2 linked regions of the Mytilus edulis genome follow. The main gene of each other region encodes a partner of the protein of the gene in region 2 in a complex. Links are inferred from orthologs where the notes say so. Each region holds a gene or a part of one and is shown on either strand. Other genes may lie near its edges. The genes, in order: lipoamide acyltransferase component of branched-chain alpha-keto acid dehydrogenase complex, mitochondrial-like; dihydrolipoyl dehydrogenase, mitochondrial-like.

The links.
Region 1: the proteins of dihydrolipoyl dehydrogenase, mitochondrial-like (region 2) and lipoamide acyltransferase component of branched-chain alpha-keto acid dehydrogenase complex, mitochondrial-like are in contact, whole or in part, in a crystal structure (PDB 3RNM), measured with the Homo sapiens proteins. The link is inferred for Mytilus edulis from reciprocal best matches to the Homo sapiens genes DLD and DBT. Residues at the interface, in NP_000099.2 of Homo sapiens: Ser446, Thr447, Asp448, Arg449, Glu472, Tyr473, Gly474, Ser476, Glu478, Asp479, Arg482; in NP_001909.4 of Homo sapiens: Thr174, Pro175, Ala176, Lys196, Arg199, Leu201, Lys202, Glu203, Leu206.

The regions. Positions count from the first base shown.
Region 1 is NC_092344.1:17,372,316-17,388,434, reverse strand, and holds the start of lipoamide acyltransferase component of branched-chain alpha-keto acid dehydrogenase complex, mitochondrial-like, read left to right. Parts: upstream 1-10,397; 5' UTR 10,398-10,469; coding exon 10,470-10,526; intron 10,527-12,743; coding exon 12,744-12,864; intron 12,865-13,207; coding exon 13,208-13,280; intron 13,281-14,479; coding exon 14,480-14,664; intron 14,665-15,120; coding exon 15,121-15,254; intron 15,255-16,119. Other genes in the region: mitochondrial substrate carrier family protein ucpB-like, read left to right, coding at 349-412, 1,729-1,888, 2,579-2,718, 3,582-3,793, 5,355-5,520, 6,621-6,802. UniProt on the Homo sapiens protein: The branched-chain alpha-keto dehydrogenase complex catalyzes the overall conversion of alpha-keto acids to acyl-CoA and CO(2).
Region 2 is NC_092344.1:47,450,756-47,466,634, reverse strand, and holds the start of dihydrolipoyl dehydrogenase, mitochondrial-like, read right to left. Parts: upstream 5,871-15,879; 5' UTR 5,780-5,870; coding exon 5,738-5,779; intron 2,247-5,737; coding exon 2,183-2,246; intron 952-2,182; coding exon 872-951; intron 468-871; coding exon 329-467; intron 1-328. Other genes in the region: early endosome antigen 1-like, read left to right, coding at 5,907-5,942, 7,602-7,634, 10,448-10,510, 11,073-11,168, 12,152-12,258, 12,854-13,001, 13,831-13,894, 14,658-14,764 and 2 more. UniProt on the Homo sapiens protein: Lipoamide dehydrogenase is a component of the glycine cleavage system as well as an E3 component of three alpha-ketoacid dehydrogenase complexes (pyruvate-, alpha-ketoglutarate-, and branched-chain amino acid-dehydrogenase complex).

The sequences.
Region 1 (16,119 bases), about 30 Mb from region 2:
TAATTAATGTTTGTTTTTTCTCCATACATGTTATCTTCACTGTATCATATGTACATTTCCTGTTGTTATCACTAATTAATGTACTGTCATGTTTTCAAAAGCACGTTTGCACGGCTAAATGCATTGCTTTGTGTTTGTTATTATTGTAGTGTAGTTTTAAGACATGTTAAATCAATTTTTCTATAAAAATACATCTATACTTGAGGCTACATGCATCGTTAAACACTATTTTTATAACATTCAATGATGCGTCAATTAAGATTAAATAACGTAAGATGACGAAAAGGAAAATAAACTAGTGTATAACGAAGATAGGTCATAAAATAAGTGTTAATCAAGGAAATAAGTATGAAGAATGAGGACAAATGGAGATTTTTATTAGCAGGTGTTTCCAATATGTGTGGCGCTACAGGTAACAGTATATAGTATTATATAATGTATATATATACACGTTATAGGAAAACTGAAATAATATCCTATATCGCTCATGCATGTTTTATTTTATTTCTTTGTCTGGTATTGTGTATTTTCAACGAACACTCTTTTTCTCGCATGTTTTATAATGATTAGTGTATTATGATGTGTATGTATACTCTTGCATGGTAAATAAAATGTTTATACATGTCATTATAACTGTATGTGTGTGTAAACTATAATCGGATGTATTATGTGCTTAAATATTAGTGTTATTATTGATCTATATAGCCCCATCTTTTATAGAATTATAGATTTACCAGGGAACGACTTACCATGCACTGACATGACTGAACACATGCAATGTGCATTCATATTAAAGTAGGCACAAAATGATTTCAGTTGACTCTTGTGACTACTTTTTCAGATATAAACTATTCATTAAAATTTCTTTTTAATTCAAAAAGGGGGATTACCGGCTCTCGGCCTGAACGTGATAGTTTTATCAGAAATATTTCAGTAAAGATATATTTTTTTCAATCCATCTTGGATTTATAAGGCTTGTATAGGCTTTGATGTTCGTCCAGAATTTTTTTTAAATTTATTTTTAAAGGGGCACTAGCCACGAGATATATTTCAAGGGACACTAAATCTGCGAGATATATTTAAAAAAAAAATATGATTTTTTTGTTATATTCAATCATTAATAAAAGGGAAAGAGTGATACAATAATTAACAGTATGGTTAAATGTGTCAGAACAAGGTAAGATACATCGATAATGAATCATTTGCTTGCAAGTGAATAATTCATCCTCATTGAATCCGCATTCATGTGAACTTTAGTTTAATTCCTTAGCTAGAGTTTTCAAAAAGACTCATTCTTATAAAGATAAAAACAATGATTAACATATATGTTCACCTACAATATGAAATCAAACAAACATAGAAAAATCAAATTACACGAGTTCGCTTTCTATTTCTATTTACATTATATATATATAGGGGTTTAACCGTCGGCATTCTTCGGAGGTTACCTCGATGGTTCATTAGATGGAGTTTTGAAAAGATATATATTTCATGTTAAGGAGGGGTATTTGCAAAAAATACCAGTCGAGAAAATGGTAAATTTCAAGAGCCGCAAGGCGAGGGGAATTCATTATCAAGACTGGAATTTTTCGCGATAATTTTCCATATACCCCATTGAAAAGTATATGTGACTGATAAATAAGATATGAGAATTTGCAGTCATATTAGTGAACATGAATTTGACAGCTAGTGCCCCAATAACAATAATATTGCCTTGTCTCTTTTCAGCTACAAACCCATTAGATGTAGTTAAAATTCGAATGCAGTTAGAAAATGAACTAACTCGACAAAAAGGACTGGACGTTTATAGGAATAGGTATTATGAGGGTGTCATCAAAGGAGGAATTCAAATTTTCAAAGATGAAGGATTCCGAGGTTTATATAAAGGGTAAGTCAATAACAATACGTTGGGGATTGTCAATGAGCTTTAACAAAAAAATGTTTTTTTATTACACATGTAAAACGTGTTTATATTTAAGACGATTTCCAGTACACTCTTGCCCTAGAAATAGTTATGCTGTATGGAATAATGTAGTAAAGAGAAGACATCGTATAATTGTTTGAGATAACAATTTGTTTGTTTTTATATTGCAAAGTTTACCTACTGTTGAGAAAGGACGTTCAATGACGTCGTTAAACAAACAAACTAATATTAACACGTACAATACTTTCTAAGTAGGTATGGGTTGGGTTGAGAAAACTCTTCATCTTCATATTTCCATTTTAGAAAAATATACATTTAAAAAACTTGCTTTTCATTAAAGTTGCAATCTTGGTCACATGTTCAGAAAAGGTACGTCAACTTTGCAAATCATTAAAAACTCACAGTACACATACCGGCATATATGAATCTGCGATACCGAACATTACGGTTTTAAGCAAACATAGAAACCACTTAAAAAATACCTGATGGGAAATAAGTATACCCTAAAACTATAAGATCTATAAGTTCTGCATGAATGTTCAGAACTAACCTTTTCACAAATACAATGTTATGCATCAAATATAATGAATATAGTATTCAAACAACTACTCAATTAATGATGTAACTTATAGAACAAAAACATACATTTTACAGTTTGTTGCCGTCTGTGATGAGAGAAGCTCTCTATAGTGGAATTCGTTTAGGTGCATATGAACCAATCAAAGTTCTACTTGGAGCAAAAGATAAAGCACACACGCCTTTGTGGAAGAAGATTTGCGCGGGTGCAGTTTCAGGTACATATTTTTGCCGCCCCTTTCCATACATTATTTTTTTCAGGATATCAAATGGACTTGCTTTTTAGCTAACGCTTGCTTAATATTAAAAATGATCAAAATTAATGTAAAGTATATAATTGTCATACGATAACTACTTTCGAAATTCGAAAATTAAGAGAGATTTTAATGTATAATGTAGCAAAATTTACTTAATACATGCAGCATGTTGGACCGATATTACACAATTTATATTTTGTTTAAACAAAAATGAAATCGTAAATGTTACTTTCTGAAAATAGTGTGATGTGAAAGCTTCACAATAGAAGAAATTAAGGCGTCATTATAATGATATTTTAAATGGCTCCGCTGTAGCAGGCATTACATCCTTGTCCGTCTGTACGTCCAACATTGTATTTGCATTCTCTAACTTTAGCTTGATTCAACTAAATGTTACGAAACTTCTGTACAATCCTTATTACCACAAAACACAGATCAAGTGTGAGTTTTGTAGGCATCACTTTTACCGTTTTACAGTTATATCCCTTACAAATGAAAAAAAATGCAGAGAAATTGCTTAATTTTTCTTTGTTGTTCTTTAAAGGACCAACGGACTTAAATTGGTAAATGCGTATGTTATATTAATTATAAGCTTTGGATTTTACATATTTTGGCCACGAGCATCACTGAAGAGATATGTATTGTCGAAATGAGCATCTGGTGCAGAAACATTGGTACCGTTAATGTTATTATAATGTTTTGATTTTTACATTTATTTTGTCTTGCCTTCTCAAATGCAGGTATGAAATTACATGTGCAATCACACCCGTTGTTAATCCTCTTTGTCATGTTTGTCAGTATTACATGTTCTTTTCTTGAAACAGGTGTGATAGGCAGTTCTATAGCAACCCCCACGGATCTTGTTAAAGTTAGGATGCAGGCATGCACTCATGGACATTTAGCGGGGGACAAAACACCCCGTTATAAAAATACATATTCAGCTTTTGCAGAAATAATTAGGAAGGAAGGAGTAAAAGGATTATATGTAGGTGTTGGACCAACTGTAAAAAGGGCGGCAATTCTTACGGCAACGCAGGTATGATGATTAAATAGATTATGATATGGTGCTTTTCAAAAACGTTCCTAGATTAACTTTTATCATAATGAAACAATTTTCATTAATGCGGGGTTCACACATTGCCAGTTATTGCTCCCGTTTGAGGTCAGACAGCAATAAGATAAGATAAGATATGTTTATTCCAATGAACGGGCCCATGAAGAGTAAAGCAATATGACACGAAAGCAGAGCAATACGACACGAAAAGTGAAAAAGTCGGATTAGTATCCTCAATTATCTGGAATGTCCTATCATTGTCTGAACGCAGTCGTTTTAGTTCGTAACAGATTCCTACGGGTCGGGAAGGGTCCGAATAGTTCGGCAAAGCACCCCGACAGTTAGGTGCGTCCCGTAACATTCGGGGCAACTCAGCCGATTTTGTCTAGTCGGATTACAATCGTGGCTATGTCGTGACAGATTCTGCTGTATCGGATCGAATTCCGAACAATGTTTTGTGTATTCTGGACGGTGTCCTGTGCAACGGAAAAGATCTGGAGTATTTTTTCATAGCTGTTTTTCTGCCGATTGAGTCAAGATTGCATCCAGATCTTGTCGATTGCGAACCGTTTTTTGCCGAAACCGTTCCGAAACAGTCCCGTTATGAATACGAAATTCGTCAATGATACTCACGTCAGAGTCCCGACAATTACAGAATACAATAAGACTGAGACCAGACAAAGCCGTTTGCAATGCGATAGAGCGGACCGTGATAGGATTACGTTCCGACAGTACCTGATCATCCCGAATATGCCGACAGTTTTCGAACGGATAACTTCCGTCAGCGTCGGTTCACTGTCTGGTCACTGCCTGATCTCTGTCGTATTACATTCGGTAGAGTCGGGACGCTGTGGTGACAGACTCGGTCGAATTTTACCTGGCGAAAAATACGAATCGGATTAGAAGCGGATTTAGAACGGGATTATCGGGACATATTCGCTTGGAAACGGTTGAATATCGACGCTTCCTGAACACTATCTGATTGTTGTTGTGATCAAATTATTTTTTTTTACCAATTTTAATTAAAGTTTGAATTTCCATCCACGATTCACAGGATCTTGATCAGACTTTTAACAAATTTTAATCGGGAATGGTCCTGTCAAGGACGGTAGTAAAAATCGTGAATGTGTGACCCCAGCTTAATAGATCGTCCTTGAATGATTTGTACATTTTAGATGAAAGCTTGCAGGCGATAATTTTGTAGTTCGTGTAATGATTGATACATATATGCACGAAGCAATAAGCAAAACAAAAAATAAATAAATTAAAGTTAGTCCAATGTCATTTCAACTAATGAATTCATCATGTTCTCCAATAGGGAAACTATATAGTATCAATCAGTACCAGCCTACGGATCTTGTGTGCAGACGTCATAAACTGTTTGATAAAATCATGAAGTTTTAATGTCTCGTGTAAAATTCTTACAAGAAATAAACAAATGCAGGATATATTAGTGGGAGAAAAGACACTCAAAACAGAGTTATGCTACTACCAACTGCTAGTTCACTGCTTTTCATGTTTTTTTCTCTCTCTCCATATATAGATCCCAAGCTATGACCATACTAAACACACGATACTAAACTTGAAATGGATGGACGAAGGGCCACTATTACATATTATATCATCTATGGTAGCTGGTTTCATGGCTGCACTTACAACCTCGCCAGTAGATGTCGTCAAAACCAGAATCATGAACCAGAAATATGAACGTAAGAAGCACTATTTACTTTCCGAGTTGTTTGATTATCTATAGTATATTTTATAATTCCCATGACACTTCATTACATGGCATTAAAGTATAAATTTACGTACCGGGGTACTTGTAATATAGTATGTATACATACTTCCGTTGTTCCAAATATAAGAGTTACATGTCCATAAGGCATTTTTTCTTTATGTTTGTCGGTTATTTATTCTTTATATCTATATATATATATATATGTTGTGATGATGTTTAGTTTATTGTCACAAACAATTATAAATATTGCACAATGTGTTAAAGTATTCCTTAAAAACTTAATGATTTCTTTTGTTTCAAAATTGATTTACCGAACATGGATGTTTAACACTGAATGCAAAAACTTTATTTAGATTCGGTGTTGTTAGTAAGCTCTAGAGAGAATTTAACTGGATACATACAAACATATGCAACAGCATAGAAAAATATTCATGCAATAAAACCTAAAATTAAGGAATAACAGTACTGTAGTTGAAGAGTTGCCACTGTCAATTGCAGATTTGACGGTCGCGAATGCAGTTTTACTGGCGACGCGTAGCGGAGACAGTGAAAACGGAGATTTGCGACCGTCAAGTCAAAATTGACGGTGGCAACTCTTCAACTACAGTACTGTTATTCCGATTCTGATGCATTACAATAAGAAAAGAACAGTAAGCACTGCACAAACATGGCAAAGCAAGTTATACATTTTATGATTATTCCCGTTTCCGCGTAATCATTTGATAGCTAGTCCGAGATTACTCTGACGTCCATCGGCTGTTTTGCCAAACAAACAGTCCGAGATAACAAACAGTGTGAGATTACTCTGACTTCCAACGGCTGTTTTGCCAGACAAGCTCCGAGATTACACTAACGTACAACGGCTGTTTTGCCAGACAAGCTGCCCCAGCCTGTCTGTCAAAACAGCCATTGGACGTAAGAGTAATCTCGGACTATGGATAACATGATCATTGTGATATCACAAATAAATAAATAAGTAACAAAATAAAATGGGTATTCCACACATTATCTATATTAAAAAGAAAGTTGTGTGGTCAATGTGGAATTTTAGGTATTTGTTATGTTTTTCAGATCACCACGAGAAGGTTTATAAGGGGACGTTTGATTGTTTGATGAAGATTGTCAAAACAGAAGGATTTTTAGGACTTTATAAAGGGTTTATACCGAACTGGATGAGAATTGGTCCTCATACTGTTATATCATTCTTTATATTTGAACAGTTAAGACGATCTGTTGGGATGGATCCTGTTTGATGTAAAAAAGGACTAGGATTGTTTTGTAATTTAGTGTTTTTAAAACGATTCTCAGGGAATACATACACGGATTAGAAGACGGATCAAAATAAGCACTTTGTTGCTTGACGGATTAGTATAATCACGAGTTGCTTGTGTCTCAGTGAATCCTTATTGTGAATGTGTTTATAATTATACTTGTTTATGATTATTCATCATGAAATATTGTTTACAACAACACATATACGTGTAATCCAGACATTTTTATTCATATACATATAAATGGTGTTTTTTATACAGTTATATTTTAAGAAATTTATTTATGTACGGAATGTGTATAACAGAGAGAGCAGGTGCAAGCTGATATTTAAGTTTTGTATGTGCAATAAAAAGTAATTATAGTTTGGCTCTTGTACTTTTAAACCTTTACAAGAATGCAGACGGAGGAGAAGGTTCAATGACTTATAAGAAATAGAACGAACCAAAAATTGTATTTGGAACATTGTTGTTGTCATGGTGAAGTTCGGGGATCTTTTTTAATTTTTTAAAGTAAATATATTTAGAAAATCAATAACCTCGATGGGGAGGGGATGGTACTAAGCTCTTTGGTTCTATATGGAAAAGATTTCCTTCTGGTTTTTTTTTTCAAATTGTTTCTTATGCTGTGTCTAAAGGTCTCTCTAGATATGTTTGCAAATTGGACAACTATCGATTAAAAGATCAAGGGACAAGGATGTATAAAGTGCAATTCACCGCACCACACAATGAAAAACAAGTGAAATTGATGCCATCAACTACAATTCACTGTACAGCACAATGATATATACAATGGACACGGATGCCATCAACTTCAATTCACCTTACAACACAATGAAAAACAAGAGACAAGGATGTAATCAACTACAATTCACTGTACAACACAATGAAAAACAAGGGACAAGGATGTAATCAACTACAATTCACCGTAAAACACTATACAGAACAAGGGACAATGATGTCATTAACTATACAATTCACCGTACAACACTATGCAAAACAAGGGACAATGATGTCATCAACTACCGTGAATTCACCGTACAACACTGTACAAAACAAGGGACAATGATGTCATCAACTACAATTCACCGTACAACACTATACAAAACAAGGGACAATGATGTCATCAACTACTATTCACGTACAACACTATACAAAACAAGGGACAAAGATGTAATCAACTACAATTCATCGTACAACACAATGAAAAACAAGGGACAAGGATGTAATCAGTTACTATTCACCGTACAACACTATACAAAACAAGGGACAATTGAGAGTTATCTCGTTGGCACTCACACCACATCTTCCTATATCTATTTAAAAATGTGAAAAAAACTATTTTCAGTCCTGAAATGGTTTGGAAGGCTGTTCCATAAAGTAGCAGCAGCAAATTTGAAAGTTTTTTTTTACCGTAACGGGTTGGCTTTACCTACGGAATTTCCAGAATATTTACATACCTGAAATAAAATTGAGAATGGAAATGTGTCAAAGAGACAACAACCCGATCATATCTGTCTGCTATGCAGACAACAGCCGTCGTCACCAATGGGTATTCAATGCAGCGAGAAAAGAATACTTTTAAATTTCTTTGACACTCACCAAATTGTGTAAGCACACAGGAGCCATATTGTTTATAATCTTAAAAGTTTCTAGAGCCATTGTTCTTATCCGTCTGATCTGCACGGAGGGCACCTTAGCCTCAGTAAGTTAGAAGACCTCATAGGAGCTGGTAAAATCCTCATATACGAAACGAAGTGCTCTTTCCTGCACCTTTTCTAGTTTTTTGGAATTTCTCTCAGTGTAAAAATGCCATACCAAAGGGAAAAAATCAAATTACTTAGAATAAAAGTATGAAAAATAATAAGTTTACTAAGTCTAACCAAAACTAAGCCTTAACGTTTAAAAACATTTAATTGCCTTGATGCCCTTCTACAGATTGAGCTGACATGAACATCAAAATTTAACTGATGGTCAATTTCAATGCCTAATAATTTTACTGTTTTTCACATGTATGTAAGGTTCGAAATTTGAATATGTATAGATGGTCAAAGGTCAAAGGTCTTTTTGCCAACAGCCAAAACTTGAAACTTGTCGGGATTTGCTTGCATTTTAATTACCCGGAACCACTCAATAAGTATTTTGACTCAGATTCCAAAGTTGAAATTAATAAATCAGAATCTGGAGTACAGATTACCATCTGCATAGTGATGTAAACTACCATTTTTAACAAAAAGAAAAATATAATTTATAAATATGTTAAACAACAATAGCCCTAGTAAAGAACCCTGTGACACGCCTTTATGGATATTAGCACAACCACTCAGAACAGTGTTGACTTTAATTTGCTGTTTACGATTATCAATTACCAACCCAGGCTTCATATGTGGCTTCGTATGCAGATCATATACACACACGGAAATTTATAAAAATATTTTTTAAAGCCCGACTCTTTTTTCCAAAATCATATATGATCAAATAATTGGAGAATTTTACACTCAAAAACTGAAAAAATATTACGCGATATCGGATACAAATTTATTGCTAAAGGAAAGCTATAGGAAGGGATATTTAAATTCACAAGTCAAAAGCAAATAACAATACCATGACAAAAAAAGAAAGGACGAAATCAAAAGACAAACAAAAGTACACACATCTCAGCATAAAAAATAAAGACATAACACTGAATCAAAAACCTTGATCTATATTAGAAATACCCCTTTAAAAATTCAATTCCTTCTTGTAATCAAATTAAAATTGCCAGAACAATCTCATCATGACGGCATTGAGATACAAACTATGTCTCTGATTTTATTGGGTGAAGGAAAGACAAATATAAACTACGTGTGTTGTTTTGGGGAGCAGTACATCTAAGGAATCAACAATTCGACGTCCAGGTGGTGGAGGGCAAGTGTTATGTTTGCGTTTTTCAATTTCTCTAAATATTCCGAGCCCCACTTTGACGGGAAAAAATAATGTGGTGAAGCATGCAGATGACAACACATTTGAACATGAATTCAGTATTCTGAATGCAAATCAGAAACCCCCATACTTCATAGTATAACATTTTGAAAGAAAAAAAATCTGATTGATTGCGTTGAAAACTAAATAAAATTGTTTATACTTTGCGCAAGAAGAAAAATCTGACTAAGAAGAACAAATGTAACCCACTCCCCCCTTTTATTTTTAGTTAAATGGTTGTTCCCTAATGGGAAATGAATCTGATAGCCAATATCAAGGACGTGAGTTGGTTAAGTCCAAAAAGTTGTTTCGTATTTGCAAGAGCCCATTAAATAAAGAAAATTAATAAATAAATTGAATTATTTTTAATGGGAAAAAGTTGGGGTGTGTGTCCCAGTCAACCAATCACAAAACACTATTTCAACACACAGAATAGTAGTTTATCTTAATCCGTGTAAATTCTACGATTAGACAGCAATTGAAGTTGAAATATATTACCTATTAAAAAAAGAAGATAATCAATATTGCTCGGGGGCAGCAATAATCATGTATAGATTTTTTAGAATCTAAAGGAAAAGGATTTGCAGATACTGTTATCGGGATCGATAAAAATTTTAGTTTTATCTCAACCTGGGTTCCTGCCGATGGCATCCTTCTGTCTGTTTGCAAACATCTAAAGAACCAGTTTAAGATGGCATCGACGGCCTTGCGAAGGTTGAAATGGGAAAAGTTTAGGTTTCTTAATAATGTACGAATTTATCAATCCCTAAAAACAATTGCAGTCAATCAAAATTATCGGTAGATGTTAAATATTGTAAAATAATATGTTGTTATTATTGCAATGACTAAATACACACACTTTAAAAGACGGTTATTCGATCCAGGATCCATGTAAATTCAGTTTGTGTTTCGTGTGTGCTTCATTCACTTCTTTTTTTTAAGAAGGGAATCTAGTTTATCCAAAATAATAGTTCGTAGATTTTCTAAATAATTACAGACTGATTGCTACACTCCCCCTAGTTTTTAGTGAAATTAAAGCTTGAACTAAACACTGGAAATTATGCTTGAGGTAACAAGAGGTTTCGGCCTTGGTCTGTTCACAGGAGTTTGAAATACTAGCAATAAAGGTGTATAAATATGCCAAACTCGACCAGTGTTCTAACTACAGAGTTTGAACAGGGCGCAGCGCATGCCCTTTTTTATTGACGCAATGCCTTTTTTCTGTCGTTCCTCTGGCGCCCTTCCGTTTTTATCACAGAAAATTGGCATTTTCTGCCTTTAAAATATCGGTAAAATCGTAATTGTTTCATGAACAAATGATATAAATTTACGCGTAAATTGCCTTTTTTTCAATGACATTCATGCGCAAAATTGCCCTTTTTCTGACTAGCACCCTGCCCTTTTCAAATCTTGGCTAGAACACTGTCGACGATCTGTATCACAGCAGAGTTTCTCTTAAAGACAGAATTTAGTAATAAAATTGAGAAAGGAAATGGGGAATGTATCAAAGCGACAACAACCTGACCATAGAGAAGACTTCCGTAGGCCACCAATGGTTCTTCAATGTAGCAAGAAACTCCCGCACCCGTAGGTGTCCTAAGACTATAACAACTTTAGCATTGAGAATTTTCTTAGACAAAAACAAATGATAAAAAGATATACATGTACATGTACTGTGGTACAGGTAGTAATCATGGTTATTGTACACATACATGTGAACCTCCCGACGGGAGTACAATAATCCCGTTTTCAGTGGTCTCCTCCCGTCCTCCCGTTTAGGAGAAAAAACTCCCGTGTATGAAATATTTCATGAATGAAAATTTTCATCCGCCGTATTTGATAAATTCTTACTACCGTACGGGTGCAATTGACACCTGTGTTAAATTTTACCTGTAAATCAAAGAAGATGTATAATTATATGGCTTCACTTGACAGCTTGGGTGTCAAACCTACTGGTAATCAACGATGTTTACCTCTGCTAACTGCCGTTGTTTAATAAAAACTTTGTGTATTCGAAATAATTGAAATACATTTTTATTACTTCCCTTTGAATTATCCTGTTTTAAGTTATTTTGCTTTTAAAAACGTAAAATGTAAAAAGACTATAAATGAATGATATTTTAATCAAATACTCATAAAAGGATGGTATTTAAATGAATTTAAATGTGTTGGGACTTAAAAAAAAAGGCTGATTAAAAATCCTAGTTAGTTTTATGCCTATTAGAACCTTGGGATCAGAATTGTTTATGTCATTATATATAAAATTTAATGAATTAGCTAAAGATAAAAAAAAAAACTTACACTGTTTGAGCAAGGATTTGTATAATAAGAAGGATTGGAATCTCGTGGACTTTTGCATAGACTGTAGTATAATGTCTTACTATACAAATCCTTGGTTTGAGTCAAAGTTTTCTAGAAATTATATGACTTTCATAATGCTTTTAAAAAAACCATGCAGTACTATTGTTAGTGTATAGCATATTTCTTTCTTATTTGTCTATACAGTTACCAATGATGAGGAGATGGAAATATAAATCTATACAGATAAGATAAATAAATTAAAATATAATGATTTATTTGCAAGCAGTGAACAATCAATTATCAAAAACAAAACAAATTCTTCTTAATATTTTATTTTCATTCAAATAGAAAGGCAATAAAGGTACTATAAACATATTACAATTTGATGGAAATTTGAAGAAAAAACACAATTTCTACATCATACAGTTACATTTACGACAAAATTTATGTCGATAAAAAACCTCCTGATCTGAGTCCTAATCTCCTGACCAAAATTTCCAAATCTCCTGATCTGAGTTTCACAGTCCATCACATGTATGTCGGTACATGTACTGTGGTACAGGTAGTAATCATGGTTATTGTACATTGTTATAAGGAACAGTTCAGAAAAAAACTGATTAATATAAATGTATGCACTGAAAAATTTCTTTACATTATTTTGCAGTTATCTAAAAGAAAGAACAATTGCAATCAACATCATACAAGGACAATTTGTCAAAGAAAAACAAATCAGTATATTTGTCACAGTCCGCTAGTATGCTGTAGGACTTTTCATTCGTCTCCAGGTAGGTACAAAATGTACATGGACATACCATACATTGAAATAAGTTCCTTAACCTAAGTTACCTTATGAAAAATAATAACATCTTTTTTTTTTGTTCTTTAGAAGAAATTAAATATTTTCTAAAGTCTTCTCTTATTTATTTATTATTATTACCAAATGAACACATTCAAATTACTTGGCCTCTTCATTTGACAACTGGCAATTGCTGCTTTTGTCTAAAATTGAGAATGAAAACAGGGAGCATGTCAAAGAGACAACAACCCAATTAATGAGCCGAGAATAGTATTTCAAGAAACTTCTGCTTATCAATGTCATTACAGCTTCTAATTATTTATATTTTACAGTTTGTCATGAGTTAGTACAGTTTAAACTTGCTGATATAGGTGAAGGCATAAGGGAAGTTCAGCTGAAAGAATGGTATGTTATCAAACTTATCAAATAGTGGAACTTTATATCTATGATATGTGTTTAGTTTTTATTCAACTACAAAGTTAAATATTGGGATATAAGGATTGTTCATCCATGGATCTGTTCAGGCATGTCAATCTTTTCAGGTTTGAGATTTATGACAACTAGCTGCCTTTTGATTTAGATGATTTTCAGTATAGTCATTCCCATGAATTACTTTAAAAACATGTCATACTACAATTTCATGCCTCACCTATGACAGTTGAGGGGATTATGTTTTCTGGTCTTTTCGACAAGTTTTCGTCTGTTCGTTTGTTAGTCCTTCCGCTTCAGTTCAAGTTTTTGGTCAAGCCACCAGGTACATTTTGATGATGTTGAAATCCAATCAACTTTAAACTTTGTACACATGTTCCGTATTATATTCTCTTTCTAATGATAATGCCAAATTAGGTGTTTGACCCCAATTTCATGGTCCACTGAACATAGAAAATGATCATGCAAGTTGGGCATCCATGTACTATGGACACATTCTTGTTAACTTATATGTGTAGTTAACGTTCTAAAAGACATATCATAATCAATCTTATATTTGGCAAAGCATGATTATTTCCAAAAACTTGGCGTGTGATATTGGAAATCATACAAAATACAATATGATGTAGTTCTTCACCTTTAAATATCTTTTTGATAGATAAAGTTTTGGAGATTTTAACAAATACAAACAAAATGGAATGGAACTTGATGGATTCATTTCTTACTTTTTACCGAGTGCTATTTAGCATATTTCTTATTTTGTGATTGATTAATTTTTTGGTTTAATCATATCAAACACCAATTTGACCCTTGCTTTAAAAAGTTGTCAGTATAGAGTCTTAATATAATTTATATTAGACTTTTTAGAATGGAATGAAGCTTGAGTCTTATGATAACTTACTGTGTTCTCCCCAGATTATTTTCATTTAGCATCTTGGTAAAAAAGGAAATATGAAATACCATCATGTTTCTAAAAATTATAGCATCACATCCATAACACAATCTATAAGAAAATAAATTCAGATAGCATCACATTCAGAAATATAGCATCACATTACCATGATGCTAAAAGGTCCTGGGGAGAACACTGATCTTATGAAGTTGTTCATTTATAAGTTTGGTGCTAATTAGATCAGAAGAACGGTTGGAGAACTTTATTTTTATTTGAATTGTAGGTTTGTAAAAGTTGGAGATCATGTGAGTCAGTTTGACAGTATCTGTGAAGTACAAAGTGATAAAGCTACAGTGACAATCACCAGTCGATATAAAGGAATAATCTCTAAACTCTACTATGATGTGGATGATATTGCCTTAGTTAGTAAACCATTGGTAGATATTGAAACAGATGCTGATTCACCTGGTATGTCAACCTTGATTTCCTTTTGGCTTTATTGCCAGATACTTATGCTTCATGTTGAATCTGGATCTGCTGTATAATGGCCTATATATAAACTGTCTTCAGTAAGGTTTTGAACACATTTGTACACACTGGATGAACAACCTTTCACTATACATGTATATCTAGTAAAATTATGAAAAAAGTCATGCAATTTTCACCCCAAAAAAATAACATCACTGTTGGATGAGTACTTACTTCATGCGGTCTCATAAAAAAATTATTGAAATAAGCTGTATTTGTGACAGTCCAGTAAGACCACTGCAAAATGATCATTACAGTAGAAGGTAATACTACAAGAAATGTTATATTTAAAAGCCAGATGTTCACTTTAGTTAAATTTGAGCCATCTGCCTTCTGCAATTGCACAGTAATTTAAATGCAATACTATTTTGATCAATGCAATGTTATCTAATTTAGGTACAACTCAGAGTAGTCCATCATCTTCAGAAGTATCAAGCTCTTCATCAGATGATGAACATTCTATGCAGAGGATACGTGGACAGAAGGTTTTGGCAACACCTGCAGTTCGAAGACTTGCCATGGAGAATAAGGTAAATTATGGTAAAGATAAAGTATGATTGGTTGATTGATTGTTTGGTTAATGTCCTAGCGACAGATTACTTTCGTGCATATTCTGGACAAGAATACAGTACCAATAATCTAATACTGTAAATACAGAAATGATTGGGATGTTTATTATTGCAAAAATGTAACAGGGTTATAATCGCAATAATTTAAACGCATTTTGAATTTTTATGCCCCATTTATAAACAGTATGTTTTCTGGTCTGTGCGTCCCTTGTTCGTTCATCCCTCTGTCTCGCTTCAGGTTAAAGTTTTTGGTCAGGAAGATTTTGATGAAGTTGAAGTCCAATCAACTTGAAACTTAGTACACATGTTCCCTATTTTATGATCTTTCTAATTTTAATGCAAAATTTGAGTTTTTACCCCATTTTTATGCTCCACTGAACATAGAAAATTATAGTGCAGATGGGGCATCCGTTTACTAGGGACACATTATTGTTTTAATCTAAAATGATAAAATCACAATAATTTCGGAATGTGCAGTAGATAGGTTTTAACAATGAGGGTTGACAACAACAAATGGTGGGACTACCACTGGAAAAAGAGGGTATGTAAGGTAGGACACAAGTTTTGTCTTCAAATATACCACACTAGGAACCCTTTATGAACTGTTGTAAAGGTTCTTTCTTGTGTAGAGAATGCAGAATTTTTCCTACATAAGGCATCTGGTTAAACATTAAAAACTGAAAATTGGCTGCATCTCTATATTATGCACAGCCAAAAAGATACCCCTTATTAGCATATTTTTTTGTGCAGTCAGTGTAGAATGGTTTGTCTGTGTATTTAGTTAGATCTGAAACATCAAAATATTAGATACTGAACAGGCCCTTTA
Region 2 (15,879 bases):
AATTTAGTCCTGCTTAGCAGTTATATTAAGTTTATCTCTCAATACTCTATTATTTAAAAAAAAAACCAACATGTTAGTCTTTTAAATGCAGAAGGTTTGGTACAGAAAAGACCAAATTATTGTTGGACTTCATTGTTATTATTTCAATATTCTCATCGTTGAAGGCTGTACAGTTGCCTATAATTGCTTAAATTCATTTCATTTGAACTATGGTGGAAAGTTGTCTCACTGGCAATCATACCACATCTCCTTATTTTTATACTTAAATGACTTATGTAAATATAAAAATAAAATCTTCTGAATCACTAATTATATGTTCACAACTTACATTCAATGCCTCTAGTTTTGAGATCTTTACCAGCAGCCATATAATATAAATGTGAGTTGTTGAGTAATGCTTTTGATGGTATACACCCAACATTCAGACAAGTTCCTCCTAATGTCTCATTTTTCTCCACACATACTGTCTAAGATAAAAAAAAAAATTCATAAGAATTAAGCATACATAACAGAACATTCTTTAGGAAATTTGGTATTATAAATGGTGGCAACTCTTTGATTATTAGTCGCTGTCAAATTAATAAATTTATTTTGGGGTTTCCTGTTTTGTTGTGTTGCTGTTTTCTTGGTGTTAATTACCCCACATTGCCTTTTAAATTCATATATAGTTTGTAATAAAGACTTTTCTTCAAATTCAAAATACTTACAATATACATGATATATAGAAAGCAAGTCTTAATAAAGTTTGGTAAATTTGTCCTCAATTTGAAAGTATAGCATTCATACTTATTATTTGGAAAATGAGATAGCACCTGTTTCTGACAAAAATGTGTTTTCAAATAAACAAATTTGTTTTGTAAACCTTGCTTACTTTAAGGCCCAGCTGTGCAGCTTTAATGGCAGCAACATAACCTCCAGGTCCAGACCCAATCACAACTAAGTCATTATCAGCTGAAATATATGAAAATAAATATATGTTTAGGGAACATATACAACGTATAAGGCACAACTGTTTTATTCATTTATGTAGATTGTTCTGAAATTACAAAAGTTAATCTTGCATTTTTATCCATTCCCTTAAAAACACAATTATAAATGCATGCAATAAGTCCTGAATTTACAGTATTCAATTTTATTGCATAGCAATTTACTATTTCCCACAGAAAGTAACCAAAAGTTGGCGTGCAATAAATTCTAATATTGCACTAGTGCAATAAATCTTCAAAAATTCATGATGTCTTCAACTACAAAATCTTAGTTTAAACCAATTTTTACTTTCAAATATTATATTGCTATACAATAAAAGGGTTATTGCATGAATAATGGGGAATATTGTCCATCGTAGAACATATATTGCACTGGCAAGCTCATGCAATATAAAATTCTACTCAGGACAATATTCCCCAATATTCATACAATAACCCTAAAATATATTACATTCCACCAACCAAAAAAAACCAAGAGCTGCATGATTTTCTTTTATGAACAATGCAGTGCATGTCAAAATAAAAGCTGCAATTTTAACAAATGGGAGACAGCTCATGTTTGGTGAAAAGGGAAACTATTAACTATACAGAAATTTTACACTAAATATAACCAGCTGTTTAGTGTTATATATATATATCTTTAAAATACTGGTTAAAGAAATCATAACAGAGTGCACTGGCTGGTCATCATCAATAGATCTGTTTTTATTTGCCTGGCTTTAAAGTAATTAAGCACGATATTTCAGTTCTTATTTTATATTTAATCAATTACATATATACTTTGATGGCACAAGTCGACAACTCTCAGTTTTGGCTACATGTGCTGCTGTTCTTATCTATCAAGTCATGAATAGTGAAAAGTCAGCAGGCATGTTAAAACTGCATACTAAAAATTAACTGACAAGTGCAGTTATTAACTGAATGTGCACTGCAACTTGCAAAGTCTATAAACATCATTTTTTCCAATGAATGTAAATCTGGGGCTCCTTTCACAAAAACATCTTATGACAAAACTAAGTCTGACATAATTCATATAGTACATGTGTATGTGTCCCATGACTCACTATTTTTCTCACAAGATTTTTAGTGAAATGAGTTACTGTGTTTGAAGCCCTTACCATTTTATTGATTTTATATTTCGTAAACAAAACCAAGATGTCTACAGATCTTACTATTGCATATCTACTGTACATTACCTTCACTGGCATAAGATCTGTTCTGTGATACAATCAGACATCTCACAACTTTACTTGATGATCCCTAAAGTTAATTTTTATATTTTAGTGCCACAATACATTAGTTATACACATACTGGGAAAAAAATTAAAATTTACATTATACAATCAAATGAAGGTAAACATATATATATATATTATCACTGTCACTTTGAGATGAAAAATAGCAATAAAAGCAATGTTCCTTTGCTTTTAATGTGTAAAAGCTTTTGGAAGTGCATGAACTGATTTTGTGTCATGGATGGATAACCTATATTTTTTTTTTTTATTATAATAAAATTGAGAATGGAAATGGGGAATGTGTCAAAGAGACACCAACCGGCCTATAGAAAAAACAACAGCAGAAGGTCACCATCAGGTCTTTAATGTAGCGAGAAATTCCCGCACCCGGAGGCGTCCTTCAATTGGCCCCTAAACAAATATGTACTAGTTCAGTGATATTTTATATTTATTATATAAAAATAGTTTATTATACATGTACAAAAATCCTTTAAAGCTATTGGTGATTTTTGTTCAATTTATTGAATATTGACCATGACTTTCAGTGTAACTGTAATAATTATAATGACATATAATTATGTATGTCTTTCCATACTGTCCCCCAAAAAATAAGTAAATATTGTGTGATTAAAAGTAATTATAGAGATCAATATCTTATGGTAGCATTTGAAAATAGAATATTTTGATACTGTGAAAGTACTTTAATTCGTTTGTATCAATTTTCGTGGTAAGAGCAACATTCACATGTTCGTGGGGTTTTAAACTCATGGATTTGAGTATATTCTCAAAACAATCAAAAATGAAAAAATTGAAGCCATTAGAAACGAAGGTTACAAATTATCTGGATTAAAGTAAACATTGACCTGTGTAAATCGAAGTGTTCATACTAATTAACCCGAGATAGAGTGATCAACAGATTAAAGACCATTAAAAGTGTTAATTAAGCCATCCACATGTCACCTTATAGAAAACAGTTACATCAACAAATGTTATTAACGTATCTTGAATTGTAAAACAATTCTTATCAAAAGCAAGCCCAGCATGAAATTATTATTTCCCATACCGACGAGAATTACGAGGATATAAAATGAACACTTTATCATAGCATATCAATACCAGAAATCCGACTTTCTTCGATCAAAATATTTTTTGATGAGAAATAAAGATCAAAAGTTGTACAGTTTAGGTTTTTAAAGATGAAATAGGTATAATACTGTCTGCAATTGACATTGTTGTTCATGAAGCGTTTGCCTTGTGACTACTGTTAAAGTATTCTCAGATTTGGCAATACTTAATATATTCTCTACATGTACATCATATCAGTAGTCAAACATACTGGTGGATCTTTCGATGTCGTGATTTGGACAACGGTTATTTATTTTGTTGGACATTTAAATATGTGGATAAAGTCATCCACGAAAATTAGTTCCCCTCGAATAAAAGTACTTTCACAGTACTTGATTTATTAATGTGATAATATCATTTTTATGAAGCCAAATAAGAAAGGTGAATATTGATGCCCTTAAATCATGAAAATGGATGGCTATAGATCTAGGTCCATTAACGATAGAATGATAGATAGGTTTAATTTGTTACAATTTGAGAAAGAGTTTATACTTCATTTTCATCACCATGTTGAAGGTCTATGTGCACAAAAACCTTCATAAATCAGCAAAATTCAACTTGTTAACCCTTTCGCCGATGAGTCCCGGTTTACCGGGATTCACGCTTCAGACAACTGACGATGAGTCCCGTTTTACCGGGATCGGAATACATCTTTTATGTTTCCCGCTTAAAACAGTGCAAACATGAGTTATCTTTCTTTGATGAATACCCGTATGAAAGTATAAACATGGCGCTTCCGTTTGTTGAAAACCGTGTCAAAATCAGACGAAATTTACGGAATTTACGAGAATTTGAAATGAGGGAACATTTTTTTTGAAAGAATTGAAGCCAAACTAGTATACTTTTTTGACATAAAATGTCGTTTTATGTACAAAACACTTGGAATGGACATCGTTCAGTGTGAGGAATTTGTACAGCCTCATAAAATTTTTCAAAAGTTTGCCGTTTTGGGTTAAAAAATTACGATTTGGGGTCAAAGAGCAGAATTTTGAGAATTTCACCTAGATAATGCCGAAAATTTGAAAATTTGAATATTTTATGAGGAAAAAATTATCAAAACATGAATAAAACTGTGAACATGGTGTTAGTGAATGAAATAAATACACAATTAACTACAAACAAGTTTTTATTGACATTTTTTATGAAGATCTCCCACTTGAGCAATAGTATCCAGGGAAGCCATCGTCTCAGAGTAGCTTCTGTCTGGGCAGCAATCGGTGAAAGGGTTAAATTGACAAATACATTTTACAAAAAGTTTTTTTCTGAACAATTCTAATTTACTTTAACCTTAAACTTCCTTAATTCATCACTACAATCTATAATGGATCCATATCAGACTTGGTTGTATTTGGTTTGTCAAGTAAAAAAATCAGCCATTTCCAAAATGACTGACAAGGGAAATAACTCAAATCTTGAATTACATCAAAACTTTTCTATTTGAATTTGTCCTTTCACTTCTTTGACTTAAGGCCCCTTCACAGTTATTTCAGCCATATAAAGGCCTACAAATGTATTATAATAAACCCCTGATCATGATTGTGCTGTTGATATTCTGAGATTCTGTAATGATTACCATGTTATTACAGTGGGTCTCATTGGGGTCTAAGCATGACACGGGATTACTGATTTATTGTAAGCGTGACATGTGAAAATCAAATTATTGTGCCATGAAAACAGGAAATGAAGTCTAGTGGGACACAGGAAATAACAAAAAAAATGAAAATTACGTACCTAGTCATAGTATATTATAAGTTGGATACCGGAAACTGACAAAACAGTAAGCGGGATCCGGGATCAGAACCCTCCAATGAGACCCCCATTACAGAGCTTTAGAATTGACAAGAAACAAGTGAACTTTTAATTGAAGATTTAGAGAGAACCATGCACATGTTTATAAGCAGGATATTACAACGTAGACATTATATACACAGTATCTGACATATATGCATTCACCCATGTTTATTGTGTGTTACATTTCACCATTCCCATTGAAAAAAAACCAAAAGGTACAAATTCATATTACACACTAAATCATATGATTTGACTATATATCTGATAATCTGTACTATTGGCAGTATTGCATAAAATATATGGTGTATTCTAGCTGTCAAGGTCATGAATCTATATGATGTATATAGGCAAGATAATTATCTATGTGCGTTACAAATATTTGCTTTTGAATATGTCTCTTGCTGAATGAAAGTCACCTTGATTCAACCGAAATCGCTATACTGTATAACATTATGACATTTATCATACATGTGTATTGCATAAAAATAAAAATAATAAAAAAACAATGTCCTAGCTAGGATAATGAGTGTTATTGGCCAGTCTGGTGATATCTTTATCGATGACTGGTATTACAAAGATAACATTACTGTATGTGTTTACCTTTAAGAAAGGCAACGACTTTTGTGAGAAGGTAGAAAGCATATTTTGCTGAATGTGGTCTGCTTCTGAACTTGAGGTACACCGGCTACAGGTGTCGCTACAGTCGACTTCCGGTGACAACTTCCGGAAGGGACGTTCCCCGTGTCATCTGCAACACCTGAGAATAAAAATGTTCAGAAAGTTGCTAAATAGAAAAGACGAAAAGGTTAACAAATTAAAACCAACTTGCTATGTCCACACCAAACTATTTTTCATGTGTTATTAACTGCTATCAAATACCAAGAAAGGAAAAGAAACGTCCAAAATAGGAACTATTTACCATTTCGGCATTTGCCTTCTCTGACAGGGCTCCTGTGTTGATTCTTTTTCCAACAATATAAATTTTTCCACAATCCAAGTGATGTAAAGATTTAATTTTATGCTTCACTATATCAAATTATGGATCTCCTGTAGTTGGTGCTTGCAATACTGGTATACTTGTATAAATGTGTGCAATACCAGGGGAGTTTGAAAATGTTTAAATGAAATCTTTAGCAAATTTTATAAATATGCCAAACTCAACTACTGTGAATTCATTATTATTCGTTGGATACCAATTTTCTTGGGTACAGGTGAACCATAAATGTTCAACGAATTACAAATTTAATATTACCTTTGTTACATCTTCTGACTTTGGACTCTGGCTTCTATTGAACTGAATTTTAATGTGTGTATTGTTATGCGTTTACTTTTCTACATTGGCTAGAGGTATAGGGGAAGGGTTGAAATCTCACAAACATGTTTTACCCTGCCACAATTTTGTGCCTGTCCCAAGTCAGGAGCCTCTAGCCTTTGTTAGTCTTGTATGATTTTTAATTTTAGTCTCTTGTGTATGATTCAGAGTTTAGAATGACGTCCATTATCACTGAACTAGTATACATATTTTAAGGGGTCAGCTGAAGGACGCCTCTGGGTGCGGGAGTTTCTTGCTACATTGAAGACCCATTGGTAGCCTTCGACTGTTGACTGCTCTATGGTCGGGTTGTTGTCGCTTTGACACATTCTCAATTTCATTTGTATACAGAGATTATACTAAACCATGAAATGAAATATTCACGAAGATGCAAGTTTCCCTCAATCCACAAAAATTGATACCATCGAAAATAAATGAATCCACAGTATCACCTAAGAGGAGGGATAGGACCTTTATCATGACTTCGGGATCAGGTGTTTTTAAACTTGGGATTACTGGATCGACTCTTTCGTGATCCAGGAATTCTTTTTTCTAATTTCGGGATTGCAGGATTTAAAATTATTTAAATTCTAGACCTCAGGATTTCTTGTTTATAACCCTGGGATTTCAGGATGAGGACCCCCTCCTGCCCCCTTTAACCATATTTCAACAATTTACACTCTTTCATTCACCAAAAGGATGCATAAATGCAAGCTTGATTTTTGTATCCACAGTTTGTTAATTGTTTTTAAAGTGTTGGATAAAATTTGAGAAAAAAAACATTTGTTTAATGAATTTCAGTTTTCAAAAAGTCTGAAACTTGGTGAAAACTGTCATCATTATTATGAAAAAACAATGAAGTTTGTCTAAAGCATAAAATATAATAGACTGACAACTTTGAATGTATTACATGTACATCAATAAGAAACATGAGAAAGGTGTTTTGTTCTCACAGATTAGAACACTAATACATATATAATCATTAATGTATGTTCTTTTACTAAAATTCACTTTAGACAGACAGGTTTCAAATTTATACAGGATTTGATTTAGACATGTTTCACTTCATAACTATTCATTTGGTAATTGGTAAACAATGCTTTATAATTTAGCTTATATATTCATATTTATTCTATTTTGTTTATCCTCTAGGGGCAGGTTGTTGATAATGCTGATACTAACAAGGTGATTTATTTATTAATTTTCATCCTTCCTTGCCTTCCTTCATTGTCCTTGTCTTTCACATTGTGCAAATAAGTGTTTCTGTACTAAACAATTTTAAACAATTTCTGAAAAGAGACTAATTTGTTAATGAAAAATGGAAGTTATTAACGACCTTGACTGGCTCAGTGGCTATACATGTACAGCTCTTGCACGGTCGGTTTGTTATTGGAATCTGCAGATGACAAAGTATTTTTATTTAAAAGTTGATATGTTTTAAACAGGGTTGGCAAAAACCCGGGTTTTATGAGTATTGTCCAGCCCAGTGGGAAATACTGGGAAAACCCGGGTTTTACTGGGTTTTAATGGGTAATACTGGGCAATACTGGGTAATATAAAATACTGGCCTGAATTTTTTAAAGAGGATTCAGTGATCAAACTCAATTGCAAAACATTTAAGATATTTATAAACACATTTTGATTTATAAATTAGTTTACTTGTTTGAGAGTGATAATACAAGTGTATATACATTTGAAAAAGTACTATTCTTGCAACTATGAGACAAGTAAACATGTAGGCACACATTACACAGATATTAATGGAAAAGGCCTTTATCAATAATTCTCTTATGAAAGTCTATTAAATCACCCTCTTGTCTCGATTGGTCAAACTGTTAACATAACTTCAAAGAACTCATTATCAAATGTATATATATCTTACATTAAGAATTAACAAAAAAATGTAAGAAAAAATACTTTTGCATAATTTATATTTACATCACTAATTAATAAGTAATTATTCAGATTAGGACATTGATATGTTTATATAACAATATTCAGCCTTTTCATTTCTATAAGGGTTAATGACTTGACCCTGTAGGGTGTTTATTTAGCAATATGATTGCATATACATTTAAATTTATAATTCACATAAACACTGCTTAAACGGGTTTTTTTAAAGTTTGGATAGTTGAAACAATACATGGAAATTAACAAGGTACATTGTATTAATAATCCTAAAATATTCAAATCTGTTTTCTTCCTTCATAGAAGTAGTGGAGAAAAGAATGAAATTGAATTTTCAATCTTCTAGAAACATGACTCTCAATGGTTATCTGTATAAAATGTATATATTTAGCTATAATACTATGAAACTTCAACATGTACAACAAGACTTTACTATTTTGTGTTAAAATAAGCTTAAAAAGTCTTATTGCCCAGTATTACCCAGTATTACCCATTTCTGGGAGTATTGCCCAGCCCGGGAAAACCCGGGAATTCCCGCCTGGGTTTTCCCGGGCGGGTAATACTTTGCCAACCCTGGTTTTAAACAGTTGTTTTAATGTTTAATTATTGCAGCATTAAGATAAGTCTTACAAGTCTATTACTTTTTGAAAATGTTGAAATAAATAAGATTAAAATTGCCATGTTACAAATTTATGAGTCATAAGATTCTATTGGTAAAGATGGATATGCTTCTAAATATCATTGTAAAAGTACAGTTTACACAAGGGGATCATTTGAAAATTTCTCCAGACATAATAAAAAAATCAGATTATTCACAGTGAATGCTGATGATTGTGCTTGACAAGATCTGTATATATATTTAAGATAGTCAGATGATTCATGTTGTTTTCTTTTGGTACCAATTTGTGAGGATTGAGCAGATTACCAGCAATCAGATTATCTCCATTTTCACAGTGATTCACTAACATCAAAAAGGGGGATTTTAACTAAATCAACTTGTACATACCATGTTTTTTCTTGATTTTATTCCTTGATGAGAAGAGGACTTCTTGACCAGCAAACAAAGGCATTCATATTTTTTTATATTCTTTAGAAATTCTTGAAATGACAAAAAAAAAATTGATCTTGCCTGAAGACATCCTATACCTTTTACCCAACAACCTTCTTTTCTAATGAAATACATCTGCAGTAATGATAATTGATATTGTTAGTTCTGCCAAAATGATTTTACAGAAACCTCTTATTTCACTGTCACAGTTGTTTAGCATGAACACAGTACCCCATACTTATTCATTACTTTATTGCATGAAGCAGCATACATGTATACTAGACTCTGTGTTGCATAGTAAGTAGCCTGCCTAATTAAGCAATTATTCAACCATTTTTGAAATACACTTAGAATTAACACAAACAAATGCTCATTATATACAATTGTGGGTGAAAAATGAAGCATTTTAATGCAAATTTAAACTGTTGGTCGAAGATATTTCAGATTTTTCCTTGAAAGGTAGAATGTATATTTCACCATTTAAATCTTATTGAGCACATATTCATAAACTCATACCTTTACCATGTTTACAATATTTCTATTGCAGATTCAAACTGTGCATGCATATTATTTTCCATAACTGAGCTGTTTTTAGAGACAAAAACAGGTTCTCCTCTGTAAAAAATGTTCCATTGCAAATGTTTCATACTGCGATAAAAGGAAGTGTATTATATTGAAAAAGTAAAATGTTGGCATCTGACAGCTTTTTCAGTTTTTCTGTCAAACTGCCAAATCAAAACATGTAGTATCACTTGGATTTTATTTTTGAAACTCTTAAATGATTTTTTTGCAGTATATCATTTGGGTAACAAATTACTAACAGTAGAATGGATGAACCTGATAATTTTTAGTTACAAATGATAAAAAGAGTTGGTCTTACAAAATGTACAAACAGGGAATCTCAACTTATTGTAGGAAGAAGCACTCAAATAATTGAAATGTTAATTTAAATTGTGAATTTAAAATTCAAACTCTCCTTTATAGCTTCCCATATATGTAGTGTAATATTTTAGAATTATCAGCATTGTTTTTATTTTTACAGAGCAACTCTTCGAAGTCCTCCCCTGTAAAACAAGGACAGAATGATGCAGAAGAAGAGGCACAGGTAAGTTATAGGTGATGGGGTTGGGTTTTTTTTTGGGGGGGGAGAGGATAATAAAACAGAAAACAAGAAATTAAATCAACAATTTAACATCTATTGCAAACACACTTTATTTTAACTTCTTGTTCAAGTTTACTCTCTGTTTCTTTTTATAATAACTCAGCATGGTGACATTGTTACATGTAAATAATTGATTCCCGATTTCATTCTAGAGCATAATTTTCTGCATTGCTTTTATCCAAAACATGTCAATGTCTTTGAATGAATTAAATTACTGCCTACTCTGTTGTTATAAGAGTCTTGACATATAAGTTTATAAAAATTGTTACAAGTTTTTAACTTGCATTATCTGAGCTTCAAAAATTTGCCCTTCAAGCTTGCACTACCTACATTTGATTTATTCAATATTTTGTTTGTCCTTGTTACTTTTGTTGTTCAGTTTCACTAAAATTTGCCCCATAAGTTCTCTCTGTATCATTAGCAAAGAGACATTGGGATGCAGATTTTAATCAGACTGTATCCCTGTCTTCCCTTATCTATCCTAGAGCACTACTTCATATTTCAGGGATTTCTATGTCCTATGTGTATGAAATCCATGCAATCTGCTGAAGCCCTGCAGAATCATTTTGATGCTGAACATGACGAAAACAAGCCTCAGGGAGTATGTGAATTTATTTAATGAAACGATTCCTCATTGACATACCCAAAATTTATCTAGAACCCTGTTTTCTTTTATTAATGGTGTTATATACAATAAATTGATATAGTTAAACAAAGTCATAATGTTAAGTCAAAGATTTCCGAGAGAATTAATTTTGTATCATTGACATTTTCTGTGTCCTTCTAAAATATTGGGTGTAAATTTTGCATCTAGTAAGATTCAAATTATTTATACAATAAACTTTGCTCATTTCCATTCTCTATTCTATTGATAAGAAACACAATGTCAAAGATCAGGTATGAGTGCCAACGAGACAACTCTCCATTCAAGACAAAATTTGTAAAAAGTAAACTATTGTAGGTCAAAGTAGATTTTATTATAAAGTTCTCCTTTACTGTGGGTTATTCAGGTAAAAAGTATAGGTCAGATGTGTGGTTGGAAAACACTTTCGAAACCTACCACTCATACATTTTTGTAAAAAAATCAAAGTGTATTTATTATTTAAACTGTTTTAAATCTCCACACCCATCCTGATGTTTTGATATAAAGCCTTCCAACTCCAACATCCCTACTTTCCCCCTGAAATAGCAAATGCAATAAAGTAATAACTTTATCTTTAATTTATCTTGCAAGTTTATGAATATGAGCTTCTGCATTATGAGAGAGAAAACATTTTCAAAATTCAAATTGAAATAAAAAAGTTTTTTTTATTGGGTGTTTCAAAAACATTTGTTAAGGACTGTTCCATTAAAACATACATGGGATCCATGGTAATTGCTGTGAAATTTCAACTATGAGTGTGTATCAAGAACAGTGAAAATAGAATTGAAATTGTTATCTTGTCTCTTAAGGTGGTTACCATTTTGTAAGTACCTTACTGTGTACCATGAATGATAAAATTTAACAGATTTAATTCTGAATCCTTGTTAGGTTTTATATTAAACCAAATTATTAATGAAAACAATTTTTTTTTTATAATTTAGGAAGGATTTCTATGTCCAATGTGTAAGAAGTCCTATAACACACCAGAGGAACTGCAATCTCATTTTGAAACACATGACATGGAGGCTAATAATATATCAGAAAACAGGTTAGTAGGAAGATGTTAAGACAATGAGGGGTGATAGAGCTTACTAGAAAAAATAATGATTGATTGATTGGTGTTTAAAGCTACTTTCAGTCTGAGTCGGATCTAGAAAAAAAATAACATCAGCTAGATGTTAAATAGATTTTAAGCAGGCTAGTATGTTGTGAAATAATGTAAAATGCTGCTTTATGAGATAAGATGAATATTGATGGCCGTATAATGTCAATTTTTTCATGCATATTTTCAGATAAAAACATATAAAGATTTAATGATATGGTACTAGACCAATAGACTAGATTGAATTTTGAATGTGTCAGCTCACAAGTTTAGGAAGACATTAAGATTACATTAACATATTATTGGACTCTAAGCTAACCTATCTAATTATCTTCACTTCATAAATGCCTCATGCTTAGAAAGAGGATATATACTTATTTTGTGTAATTTTCTTCTCCTACAGTTTACAATCTAGATCTCTGAACAGGAACATTGTAAATATGTTGAAGTTGTGCACCTGTTATTAAGAATTGTTTTAGAATTTTCTTGTAGTTCTACATTGAATAGTCACAAATATTGAACTTTTTACTTTATTTTCTAGAGATGGAGATGTTTTTGCCCTCAGACAAGAAATAGAAAACCTAAAATTTTCATTGAGAGACAGTCAGAAATACACAGAGCAGCTAAAAATAGAACTTCAGAAAGGAAGATCTGGCAGTGGAAGTGGTAAAATACCTTTAACAGAAGATGTGAGTTATCTCCCTTGGTATTAACAAAAGGTGTAAGTTATCTCCCTTGGTATTAACAGAAGATGTAAGTTATCTCCCTTGGTATTAACAGAAGATGTAATTTATCTCCCTTGGTATTAACAGAAGATGTAATTTATCTCCCTTGGTATTAACATAAGATGTAAGTTATCTCCCTTGGTAGATGGACACACAGATAATCTAATGAATTTTATTACAGTGAAATGTATACAATAAATAACTTAGACAGGCTGCATAGATGATTATGATAGTTAAATGCTTAATTTCCAGTGGCAAATATTGCATATAGATAGAAAATAAGTTCAAATGAAGTGGATTTAAGCAATAATAGGCAACCAATAGGTCTTCCTAGATTAGAAAACCCCATTTCGTATGGTTTGCTATAAAAGGCTATCGCTCAGGGTAAAATATTTTGCATCAAGCCTATTAAAGGGCAAACCCATAGTAAATCATGATATATTCAAGCCCCCATGAAATATTTCTTAACAAACTTACTTCAAACTAAGAATGCTACCATATTTCCATTGGGCATCAGATTAGATCAGCTTGGGAGAAGACTATACAAAAAAAATAATTGAGAATGGAAATAGGGAGTGTGCCAAAGAGACAACAACCCGACCATAGAGCAGATAACAGCAGAAGGTCACCAACAGGTCGATTAACTTGTGTCTCATCCCTTTTGCATATTTAAGCAAATAAAATAAATCAGATTATACTTTATATTTTAGTTTGATTTATCTCAATTTTAAGAGTACATATATTGTAAATATTATTATCTCGTAAATACATGTATAAAGATCTTGTTTACTAGGAAAAATCTGAGTTAGAGATGATGCAGATGCAGTTAAAAGGCTCTGAAGAAAGTAGAACTATTTGTAAGTTACTTCCTATAGATTATATAATAAAATTTAACCACAGTGTAATCTACATGTTTCTCCCTTCATGCTCACACTGTTCTTCAAAATTATTCTGTGATTATAACAATAAATTATCATGGAACACTTCTGTAAAATAAAACTTTCCAAGATTTTGTATTTTTGTTAGAAAGAATCAAATTTAACAAGTTTTTATGTTATAGTTATGCTGAAATAACTCTCTATTTATTTACTATGTATGTGTCAAAGAAATTAAGGGAATGAATATTTTAAAATTGTCTTTTTATGCCCCACCTACGATAGTAGAGGGGCATTATGTTTTCTGGTCTGTGCGTACGTTCGTCCGTTCGTCCGTCTGTCTGTTCGTTCATCCGTCCTTCTGTCCCGCTTCAGGTTAAAGTTTTTGGTCAAGGTAGTTTTTGATGAAGTTGAAGACCAATCAACTTGAAACTTAGTATACATGTGCCCTATGATATGATCTTTCTAATTCAATGCCAAATTAGAGTTTTGACCCCAATTTTACAGTTCACTGAACATAGAAAATGATAGTGCAAATTTCAGGTTAAAGTTTTTGGTCAAGGTAGTTTTTGATCAAGTAGAAGTCCAATCAACTTGAAACTTAGTATACATGTTCCCTTTGATAAGATCATTTTAATTTTAATGCAAAATTAGAGAATTTATTCCAATTTCACGGTCCACTAAACATAGAAAATGATAGTGCGAGTGGGGCATCCGTGTACTGTGGACACATTCTTGTTTTCAGTAATGAATGAGTGCCACCATTTGAGGGCTAAAGTAGAGGAATTGTCAGCAAAACAAGAATTAATGACAGAAGAAGGCAGTAGACTGTCAACTAAATCTGGTCAAATGGTAATAATCTAATGATATTAATTTAAGCTTAATTTTCATCTAATAAGTATCTTATTTCTTGGAAGGAATGTCTGTACCCTGATTCTCATTTGACCTTGGTACATATATCTGACATTGTCCTAAAGAGTCCAAGACATTAACATCCACCCATTTCAAAGGTTGGCCTATTTAGTCCTTATGGAAAATATACTAAATCTTCTCTTCCAAAACTGCTAGTCCAGTTCAACTGTCAGTTAATAAACCAAATCTAACAATTATATTGAAGGATCAACCTTGCTATGGTTACTTCATATAGAACAAACACGTAAACAAGTATATAAGAAGTATTAAAATATGAACTTTTGAAGTACCTTCACCATCCGTGTGCATGGCCACAGCCAGATCTTAGTCACTATTTTGCAAATAATCTTTTAACTTTCTATTTAGATGCATCTAAGGGAGTCTAACTTGTTCACCTCTTGATGTCTTTATGTAAATCATGTTTCACTGTTATTTAAAAAGTGCCTTTTTTTTATTATACTTTGAAAAAATCTTTCGCAGAATGGATACAATTAATGATAATAATGAATTTCCATCTAAGAACTTGTACAAAGCAGTTAACTGGTTATTTTTACAGGCAAGTGAATTAGTGACAGTTAAAGCCAAATGTGATGAACTAGAAGGACAAAAGGGGGCATTAGAAGATCATATACACACACTGAAGGTAGATAAATTATTGACCAAGACAAGCTTGAGAGTTAAATACTTATTAAGATATCAAAATGCAAAGTGAGTTTAAAAATTGCATTTATCAAGATATCAAAATGCATAGTGAGTTAAAATGTATATTTATTTAGAAAGCGAAATGCATAGTGACCTTAAAAATTGCATACTTATCAAGATATCAAAATGGATAGTGAGCTTAAATATTACATACTTATAAAGTTACAAAATGCATAGTGAACTTAAATATTACATACTTATAAAGTTACAAAATGCATAGTGAGCTTAAAAATTGCATACTTATTGAGCTATCAACATTCATAGGAAGCTTAAAAATTCCATATCCATCAAGATACAATTAACATATGCATATAATCTTTATCCTTTACAGGGACAAATAGAGTCAAAAGAAA